Callithrix jacchus: one gene and its partner. Each later gene encodes a partner of the first gene's protein in a complex. Links are inferred from orthologs where the notes say so. Each region holds a gene or a part of one and is shown in the gene's direction. Other genes may lie near its edges. The genes, in order: CACNB1 and CACNG1.

Region 1 (4,400 bases):
TTCATCTTCACTCACTGCTCCTCCTTCCCCAAGGTGATGTGATCAGAGAAATGACAGGCTGACCATTCACTTGTTATCAGAATCGGGTGAGGAGGAGGAGTCCCATAGTCTCCTCTCCTGCAGAACACAGCCAGCTGGCCTTACTTTAAGGTCACTTGACCTGGAGAGGGTCTTCTCCATCTCTCCTTTCTGTGGAGCAGGAGAAGGGGTGGAGTAGGAAGGAATTGAGTCCTCCTGTCATGACTGACCCTTTCATTGCACCTTACAGCTTTTCCAAACAACCCAGCAATCCATTTAATTCTCCCTCATCCTCCCAGTAATCCCAGGTGACACAGACTCCACAGTACCAGGAACCCCATTTTATAGGAGAAGAGGAAACTGATGCTCACAGAGGTGGTTTGTCCAGGGCCATACAACCAGAAACAGCCTGAGCCAAATTGGCACCAAGGTCTATTGCCCAGAATCTCCTATTCATCTTCTCTTTACCAGTCATGGTGGGTGGAGTCCAGACCTTGGATGTTTGTCCCTAAATCAGGGGTAAAGGTGGAGCAACTCTAGGTCAAAGGTCATGAGATCTGATTTTACCAGCCTCTGCTCTCTCAGCTCCATATTTCTTCCTCTTTTCTAAGATCAGGGACCTCACCCAGTCCCATTCCTGGCCTTTTGGAAGAGCAGGGGCAGGGGGTAGGGGAGTGTATCCTAGTAACTGATTAAGGCAGAACTCCTGGACCCCTGGGATTTCTTTTGCTGTCTCTGTTGGACACCCTCCTCATCTTAGCCTCAGCCTCCCACCAGCAGCCCTAGAACCATGTTGGAGGGGGAGAGGCTTTTCTGTTTGGTTTGAGGCAGCCTGGGCCCCACACTGGGAAGAAAGGAGTTAAAGCTAGGTCCCAGGATCACAGGGACCGGGAAGTTCCGGTAGCCCAAGCAGGAGTGGGTTGGAGAGACCCGCAGGAAGAGAGGTTTGGGACAAAAGGGGGGCGGTACCAGCCGTGTCAATATGCACTACATCCCCATCAGCGTTAGGCATCCACTGGTAGACCGCCCCCGACCCCCAAGTTTCACGCCTGATTTCTCCCTTCCCGCCCCAACGGGCCATCTGAACGCCGCGGCCAGTTGGAGGCTCACCTGCGGCTCTCTAGAGCCAGGAGGGGCTTGCCTCCCGGCGGCCGCCAGCCCTTTGGGTGCGCGGTGCCGGCGGAGGGGCTGCGAGGGGCGGGGCCGGGGCGGGCGGAGGGAAGGAGGGAGGGAGGGAGCAAGGGAGGGGTGCGGGGAGATGCTGAGCCTACTGGAGAGGCGGCGGCGGCGGCGGCGGCAGTGGGGAGAGCGGGAGGAGCGAGGCAAGGCAGGAAGGAGGGAGCCGAAGGCCGGGCTGGGTGGCTGGATCAGGTGCTGGCTGCGCCGCGCCGTTCTCGGCTCCCACGGCCTCTCCCATGCGCTGAGGGCGCCCGGCTGCGCCGGGCCGGCGGCGGGAGGGGAAGCTCCTCTCCATGGTCCAGAAGACCAGCATGTCCCGGGGCCCTTACCCACCCTCCCAGGAGATCCCTATGGAGGTCTTCGACCCGAGCCCGCAGGTGAGGCATCGTGGCCCGGCCCAAGCGGAGGGGGCCGCTCGCGTGGACCGTGTGGGGGTCGGCTCGAGAGGCGCGGGAGAGGAAGGGGTTCTATGCCCGGAGCGGAGGGGAGAGGGATGCCTGTGGGTCCCCATCCTTGCAGGCTGTGATTGATGGGCGCTGGGCCTGGGGCTGGGAGGCGATGCTGCAGAGCGGGGAGGGGGCGGGTTGGCTGCCTGTCACCCTCGCCTCCTTGTCTCCCCCGCGTCAGGGTTCCTGCCGCTTGGGCACCGGCTTTAGTGGGCTGAGCGTGGGGGTGCTGGTGGGGAGAATCTGGGCCTTGAGAAGGGGAGGTTGAGGAGGCTAGAAAGCCTAGGGGGGCGATTCAGAGCACGCTCGGGGGCGCCAGGCGGGTGTGGGTGGGGCGGAGGTGGCACGGGGAGATGGTCAGAGGGCGGTGCCAAATGCCAACAGGCCTTCCAAGCCGAAAACACTGGTTCTCGAGGGTGGGGAAAGGGACAGCTCCAGGCGAGGCCCCTGTCCAGCCACCTGGACTCCATCTCTACGTCGGACCTGCTCCCTTCCCCTACACCCACGCTGACTTTCCTTACCCCCACCCCCGCCCCGAGAACGCCTCCAAAGTTTGGAAAGTTGGATGGATGCCAACGCACTGTCCGGGAGGGGAAAAAGCTGTTTTACCTGAGGGAGGGGTCTGCTTCTCCATCCCGGCAGGCACACTTTTCCTACGCCCCGGGTTACCCCAGGAAGTGGCATTCTTGGGCGCTCTGGGTTCCCATGGGGAGACCAGCAGGCTCTGGGATGATCATGCCAGGGGATTTCTTTGGGACTGTTCTCCAAGGGTAGCATTAACTCTTCTATTACTGTGGCCACAGCTGTAACCACCATCATAATGTGGCTGATGGGGAGGTAGAGGGGTCAAGTTAGACCTAAAAATACCTTCCTCCACCCTGGGCCCCTTTGAACTTGGGAGGCAGCTGACTGGGGCCTTCCCTTCAGCTGTCCCCTGTCCCTCTGAGTGCCACTCCTTTGCCCAGCATGGTGGTGGGGGAGGGTGGTGTATAGGACTCACTGGGAGATCCTCTTAGGTTTGTAGGGAGCGTCAAGACTAGAGTTTGGGTGTATGTGTGGTTTGAGAGAAAGGTGGGGAGGGGAGGATCTTGGAAGGGTCCCCAGGTGCCCTTCTCTCCCATTTTCCATCCTCTTTCTTGTACCCTGATCCCAGCAGCCACAACCCCCAGTCTGGTTGTGGCTCCTCTAGGTTCTTTGGCCAAAGAAAGTCTAGGAGGGAGACTGAGGGCCGGGGCTTGGAAGCCTGAGCCTTTACTCACTCTCCCCATTCTGGACTGGGCTGAGACCAACTGTGTGTATGCCTGTGAGCTGGGGAGGGCCGGAAGCAGATCCTCTTACAGGAGGCCTGGAAATCCCTGAAGCCCTTAACCTGAACATGCTGCTTCCTGAAAGCTCCGGCAGTGTTTCTTCCACCGGAGCCAGGAGCCTGGTCAGTGAGGCTGAGCCAGCCTTCCCACTAGGGATCTGTGGGGCTGTATCCTAGGCTCATGTGGGGTGGGGCCGAGGGACATTTAGATCGACGTTGCCTGATGGGTACCGTGGGCATGGGGCATGGGCAGTGGCAGTTGGGGGCCACAGGGTAGCAGCTTGATCCCTCTTGCCCCCTTGGGGAGGGATGTGGCTACTGTGATTGTGAGGAGAGGGAGCTGAGAAAAAGTCCTGCCTGGGCAAGGGACGAGAGTGGGGAGCAAAGTCTGCCCCCATGGTGCCAGGGATAGGGCTGGATGTTTACTCTCCAAATACAGTTCCATGCCCCTACTCCCTCCCAGAAATCTGGCTCTGAGTCTCCAAGGGAGCTGTCATCCCCTCCCTACTCTGAATAGCGAAGGGAAGAGTTGGGCATGGGGAGAAGCCAGGCTGGGCCCTGGGTTGGCAGTTCTTCCTCTCTGGGGGCCACCAACATAAACAGCCCCACTCTGCTCCTGTGGAGGGAGAGGGGGGACTTTCCCGCTCTCTCCACCCCCGCCCCCAGCACTGCCCGCTGCCTCTCCCTTCCTCTCCCTTCCTCGGAGGCCTGTGCAGCCTGCCCAGCATCTTAATTAGCTCTGCTGCCTAATGAGCCTCCAGCTTCTCCGCGCCTCCCCCCTTCCCAGCATCTCTGGCTTGGTTTGGGGTTTCCGTGTGGGCCTCCTAGGGCCCTGTTGCACTGGTCCCCACTCCTAGCTGTGGTCTGGGCCCTCTCTGTGAGGATGGGAGACCCCCCTTGGGCTGTACCACCTCGGGAAGAAGGTGCAGGGGTTTGGGGGTGGGGCTGTTTGGATCTGGGAATGCTGTTTCCAAGCTTGGCTGTAGCTATGGGGCTGGCTAGATGAGGGTTGGGAAAGGGCCCTTCTGATTCTACCCTTGGTTCCTTTCCTGGCCTCTTCAGGGCAAATACAGCAAGAGGAAAGGGCGATTCAAACGGTCAGATGGGAGCACGTCCTCGGATACCACATCTAACAGCTTCGTCCGCCAGGTAATGGGGCGGCTGGGCGGAGTAGAGGGAGATGGCTGGTTGGTGGAGACCAGCGTTGGTGAGCCAGGTCTGCGGTATTCTCCAGCCACCCTTCCCTGTGCCATTTGTCACCCACCTGGAGCCACCCCATCACCCTGACACCCCATGACTTCTCCTGGATGTGCTGTCAGCTGCACCCACTCACTCATCCCCTGCCCCTGCCCGGCCCCTCCCCCAGCACCAGGCACCTTCCCCTGCTGCCTGCCAGCCTGCGTCATCTCATTCAGGGACAGCCTGGCTTGCCTCCCTCTAGCTTGCTTCGG
Region 2 (4,510 bases), about 2.6 Mb from region 1:
AATATGAAAGTTTGGGTGGAACTGCCATAACCACATGCCAGTGGCTGGAGACATGAGGGTTCCGCTCATCCCTGGGGCTGTTCACCCTGGCTTGCCACATCTCCTCTCTGGGCTGCAGATTCCTAATCTGTCACAATAGATCTTGAAGCTTCTTCCCAGTTCAAACCATGGGTTAAGACTTTGGGTTCTGGGTTCTGAAACCTGGCTTCCTCATTTTCCTGCTGTGTGATCTTGGAAAAGTGGCATCATGTCTCTGAGCTTCTGTGTCCTTATCTGTGAAATGCAGTAAGAGTCGTAGCTCCCTTGTGGATTGGTGTGGAGAATAACTGTGATGCTGGAGGAAGGCTTAGCAGAGCGCCTAGTCGACAGGAAGCCCTCGCTGAAGACGAGCCGTTGCTACTATTATCATCATCGTGAACTTTCTGTGATTCCAAGGCTGGAGGCTGGAACGTTTCTGTCCACATGGGGAGAGTCTCTGTAAACCGTGTCAATCTGAGGCCAGGATTTTGAAGCTCAAGGCCCCACCCAGCTTAGGAAGCTATTCCTGGTCATGCATCAGCCTCTCGGCTAGACCCAAAAAGGGCTACCCGGTAAGCTGAGAAAGAAGAGATGGCACAACCTGGCACAACCTGGAGGGATGTAGGGGCCAGAGCCTTGGGGATCCCTGCAGGGCAGCCAGGCACACAGGACCCTGGGAGGGCGCTCAGTTCCAGGCTTTCTGTGTTCTCTGCCATATCTAAGCACTCACGAGCCTCCTAATTATCCCCCGTAAATCAACCTATTTGTTCTTTTTTACTCACACCCTTATTTTGCAAATTAAATAAGTGTGTTCAAATTAAATAAAAATCATTATCACCTGCTGTTAATAGAGGCAAAACCAAACACAGTACCCTGAAAACAGAACGACCAAGTCCAACGAGATTCCTTGTCCTCTTCAGGCCATTCTCTCTTGGTTTCGGAGGACACTCTGTGGGCAGTACAGACACTGACCCCAAATGCAGCTTTGCTCTGGACCCAGTTCCGGGTATGGAAAGAGAATTGAGAAGGAAGTGATGTTCTCATGAAGGGGTCAGAGTCGGGAAAGGCCAGGCCTGGGAAACACCAATAATCTTCCCACGGTTTGGGGGAGGCCATGGATTTTGTGGCTAAAACACTCCCCAAGAGGTGGACTCCAGAGGCCCTGGACGGGTTCCCTGGGATGTCCCTAAACAGTCCTAGTCTCCCCAGATCCCAGGATGAGGACCTACTCACTGCCCTGCTGGTGACAGACTTGCCCTGTGGGAGCCCGGGAGAGCCAGGCAGCCTGCAGCTCTGGTCTCCTCCCCTGCCCTGGGATGCCCTTTCCCAGCAGCCCAGAGCAGGCAGGTCCCCACCCCCAGCCCCTGCTGCCCACCCCCTCCCAACTCAGACACCTTGAGCTGCTACTCCACAGAGGCCTCAATCCACCACCCAGAGCCTTCTCTCCTTGCCCCCCTACCAGGGTACTTCTGGCTCCCAAAGGAAGAAACCCCTGAAACCTGAGCAGAAGCTGTCCTCGGTGCCACGCCTGGAGACGGTCATTAATAGCAGCCTCCCTCAGGCCCCTGATTCGTCTGGACAGCTGCTCAGCATGTCCAGCGTCCCTCAGCCCCAAGCCCAGCCCACTCTGGCTCAGCCAGGCCACACTAAACTTAGTGGCCACTCCCAGCTTGACAGCCACTGCCACCCCCCAGCTCGGCTGTCACCTGCCCTAGGAGACACAGCCGCCGGACCCTGCCCAGGGCACCCACGCCTCGGCGACCACCATGTCCCAGACCAAAACGCTGAAGGTCCGTGTGACCCTCTTCTGCATCCTGGCGGGCATCGTGCTGGCCACAACAGCCGTGGTAACCGACCACTGGGCTGTGCTGAGCCCCCACCTGGAGCACCACAACACCACCTGCGAGGCGGCCCACTTCGGCCTCTGGCGGATCTGTACCAAGCGCATCCCCATGGACGACAGCAAGATGTGCGGGCCCATCACCCTGCCCGGGGGTAATGTACCCAGCATCCCTCCCAATCCCCACTTCCTGCCCTTTCCCATCTTTCCCCAACAAAGTTACCCACACGAAGCAAGGCAGGTTTCTCTGCCTAGAACAGGGCAGCCGCCCAGCCCTTTCTGCCCAGGGAAGAAGATCCGACTCGCATGTGCTGTGCTGGTGGCCGGAGCTGGGTTGTAAGACGAGGGCGTTTGTCCCAGCTATTTCTGTCTGGCTGGACCTTGGGGCTTTTTGTCCAGAGCAGACATCTGAGCAGGCTCAAGAAAGGGACTGTGGCTCTACCAGCCCGGGGGCTTCTGGGCCCCACCTGATCACTCCCTCCCTGCCAAGACAGGCTGAGTGGCTCTGTGTGCTCAGACTCGTGGAACCTATCAGGCTGGCAGGTTCGTTCCTGGACTTAAGGCAGGAGAGTAGACTGGACAGGTGAATTTGCAGGGTCCTGTGCTGAATGAAAGTGCAGGGTTCCCTGCTCCAAATTACCGAGGATTTCAAGGCAGTGACAGCGAGGCATGAAACCAAGCATGGACCCTTGAGGGCCCTGGGCCTAGGGCAGCTGCACAGGTTGAATGTCTATGAAGCAGGACATGGCTGTGGGTGAGCCGCCTGCCCCCTACCTTTTCTTGAGACAGAGTTGCACTCTGTTCCCTGTGCTGGAGTACGATGGTGCAATCTCGGCTCACTGCAACTTCTGCCTCCTGGGATCAAGCTAGTCTCCTGCCTCAGCTTCCCCAGTAGCTGGGATTGCAGGCATGCGCCACCATACCCATCTAACTTTTGTATTTTTAGTAGAGACGGGGTTTTGCCATGTTGGCCAGGCTGGTCTTGAACTCCTGACTGCAAGCAATCCGCCCACCTCGGCCTCCCACAGTGCTGGGATTAGGCATGAGCCGCCGTGCCCAGCCTCCACCCCCACTTTTGTCAGGACTTCAGTCCTCTGTGCCTCCTCTCTTAGCTCAGACCCTATCAGCATTTTAAAAGACCATGTCAAAGCATTTTCCTCATCCTGTCATTTAAGCATATTCCTCAATTTCCTACCATGTGACCAAACCACATGTCGAAGGTAAGCTCTTTTTCAGGAGTACCTGGTATTTGTGTGGCTAACCTCTATTCTGCAAATGCAGAGGCCTCTGGATTCTTAGCAAATACAGCACTTCTTTAGAGGAAAGAGGGCTACATGGAGACCAGGCGGCCAGGAATCATCACCATTGCCTACCACGCTCCAAATGACTCTCCAGGGAGGACAAAGCTCAACTCAGCCTCAGCTTCTTCCTCTATAAAATATGGGACTGACTCTCAACAACATAAGATCCCTTCCCAGGCTGAGGGACACCCATCCATGGTGGCAGTGGAGCAGGGTGATGTCAGTGTGATGTCCCACCTGGCTTTCAGGATTATTCCGTCTTTTATCAGACTGGATGTTCCTTGAAACCTGTCCTTCAAGGACACTAAGGCTGAGTCCCCAAAGATCTTGCAGTCTGTTTGTGGGTCAGAGAGCCCAGACCCCATCCTCCCATGTCTCTGCTCCCTCTTCCTTCCCTCCTGCTTGCTCCAGAGATCCCCTCCCTTGCTTACCCCAACTGGGTGCCCAGAAGACTCGTAAGTACCCAGCTGTTGTAGAAACACCAAGTCCCAGTGCTTGAGGGTGACAGGTGTGAGCATGTGCTGGCAGGGTATTGCATAGCTGGGATGCCCATGTCCCTTGACCACTGCGAAGCACACCCATAAACAGGCACAGCCTCCAGCCTACTCCCCTGGGTGGGGCAGGGCAGGGCAGGGCGAGGTAGCTTCTACAGGGACCACACATGGGGACGTGCTGTTACAGTCCTGTTCACCCATCTCTGGAACCATCTGACTTTTAAAGTCAGAGAAGAGGGCTGGGCAGTGAACAGAGTCCACACAAGGAAGAGACAGGCTGGTGAGAGGTGACTGGACCAATCACAGGGGGTGACAGGCTGGGGAGACGTTAGTGGACCAATCACAGGGGGCAACAGGCTGGCAAGAGGCGATTGGACCAATCACAAGGGACCAACAGGCTAGTTAGAGGTGAGTGGACCAATCATAGGGGGCCAACAGGCTGGTGAGAGATGACTGGACCAATCACAGGGGGGCAGCATGCTGGTGAGAGGTGACTGGACCAATCGCAGTCACTGGAACCAATGCTAGTCACTGGAACCAATGCTAGTCACTGGAGCCAACAGGCATTGCTTGAGCTTGAGCCTGACCAGGATCTACCTCTTTGACTTCTTAGCCTAACCAGCCATGAACCATACCTCCCACGCTTGTGACACGGAGCACTACCTTTCCCCCAGTAATCTTCCAAAGTATGTTCCTGCCTTTTTCCCTCTCTTTTCTGTGCAAATGGACATCTTTCTCTTTCCCTATCTGCCCTTCTTGTGTTCCCTGGGACCACTCTTCTCTAGAGGGAGGAAGTGAGTTCATATGTGGCTTCTCAATTAACAACAGTAATAATGGCACGTACATGTAACCCTATG

Evidence for each region.
Region 2: CACNB1 (region 1) and CACNG1 share a complex: the UniProt entries of both Homo sapiens proteins name them as parts of the calcium channel complex. The link is inferred for Callithrix jacchus from reciprocal best matches to the Homo sapiens genes CACNB1 and CACNG1.

Annotation. Positions count from the first base shown.
Region 1 is NC_133506.1:119,682,683-119,687,082, reverse strand, and holds the start of CACNB1 (voltage-dependent L-type calcium channel subunit beta-1), read left to right. Parts: upstream 1-1,316; 5' UTR 1,317-1,490; coding exon 1,491-1,574; intron 1,575-3,009; exon of another isoform or gene 3,010-3,018; coding exon of another isoform or gene 3,019-3,072; intron 3,073-4,011; coding exon 4,012-4,098; intron 4,099-4,400. UniProt on the Homo sapiens protein: Regulatory subunit of L-type calcium channels. Regulates the activity of L-type calcium channels that contain CACNA1A as pore-forming subunit.
Region 2 is NC_133506.1:122,263,090-122,267,599, reverse strand, and holds the start of CACNG1 (voltage-dependent calcium channel gamma-1 subunit), read left to right. Parts: upstream 1-1,679; 5' UTR 1,680-1,784; coding exon 1,785-2,013; intron 2,014-4,510. UniProt on the Homo sapiens protein: Regulatory subunit of the voltage-gated calcium channel that gives rise to L-type calcium currents in skeletal muscle. Regulates channel inactivation kinetics.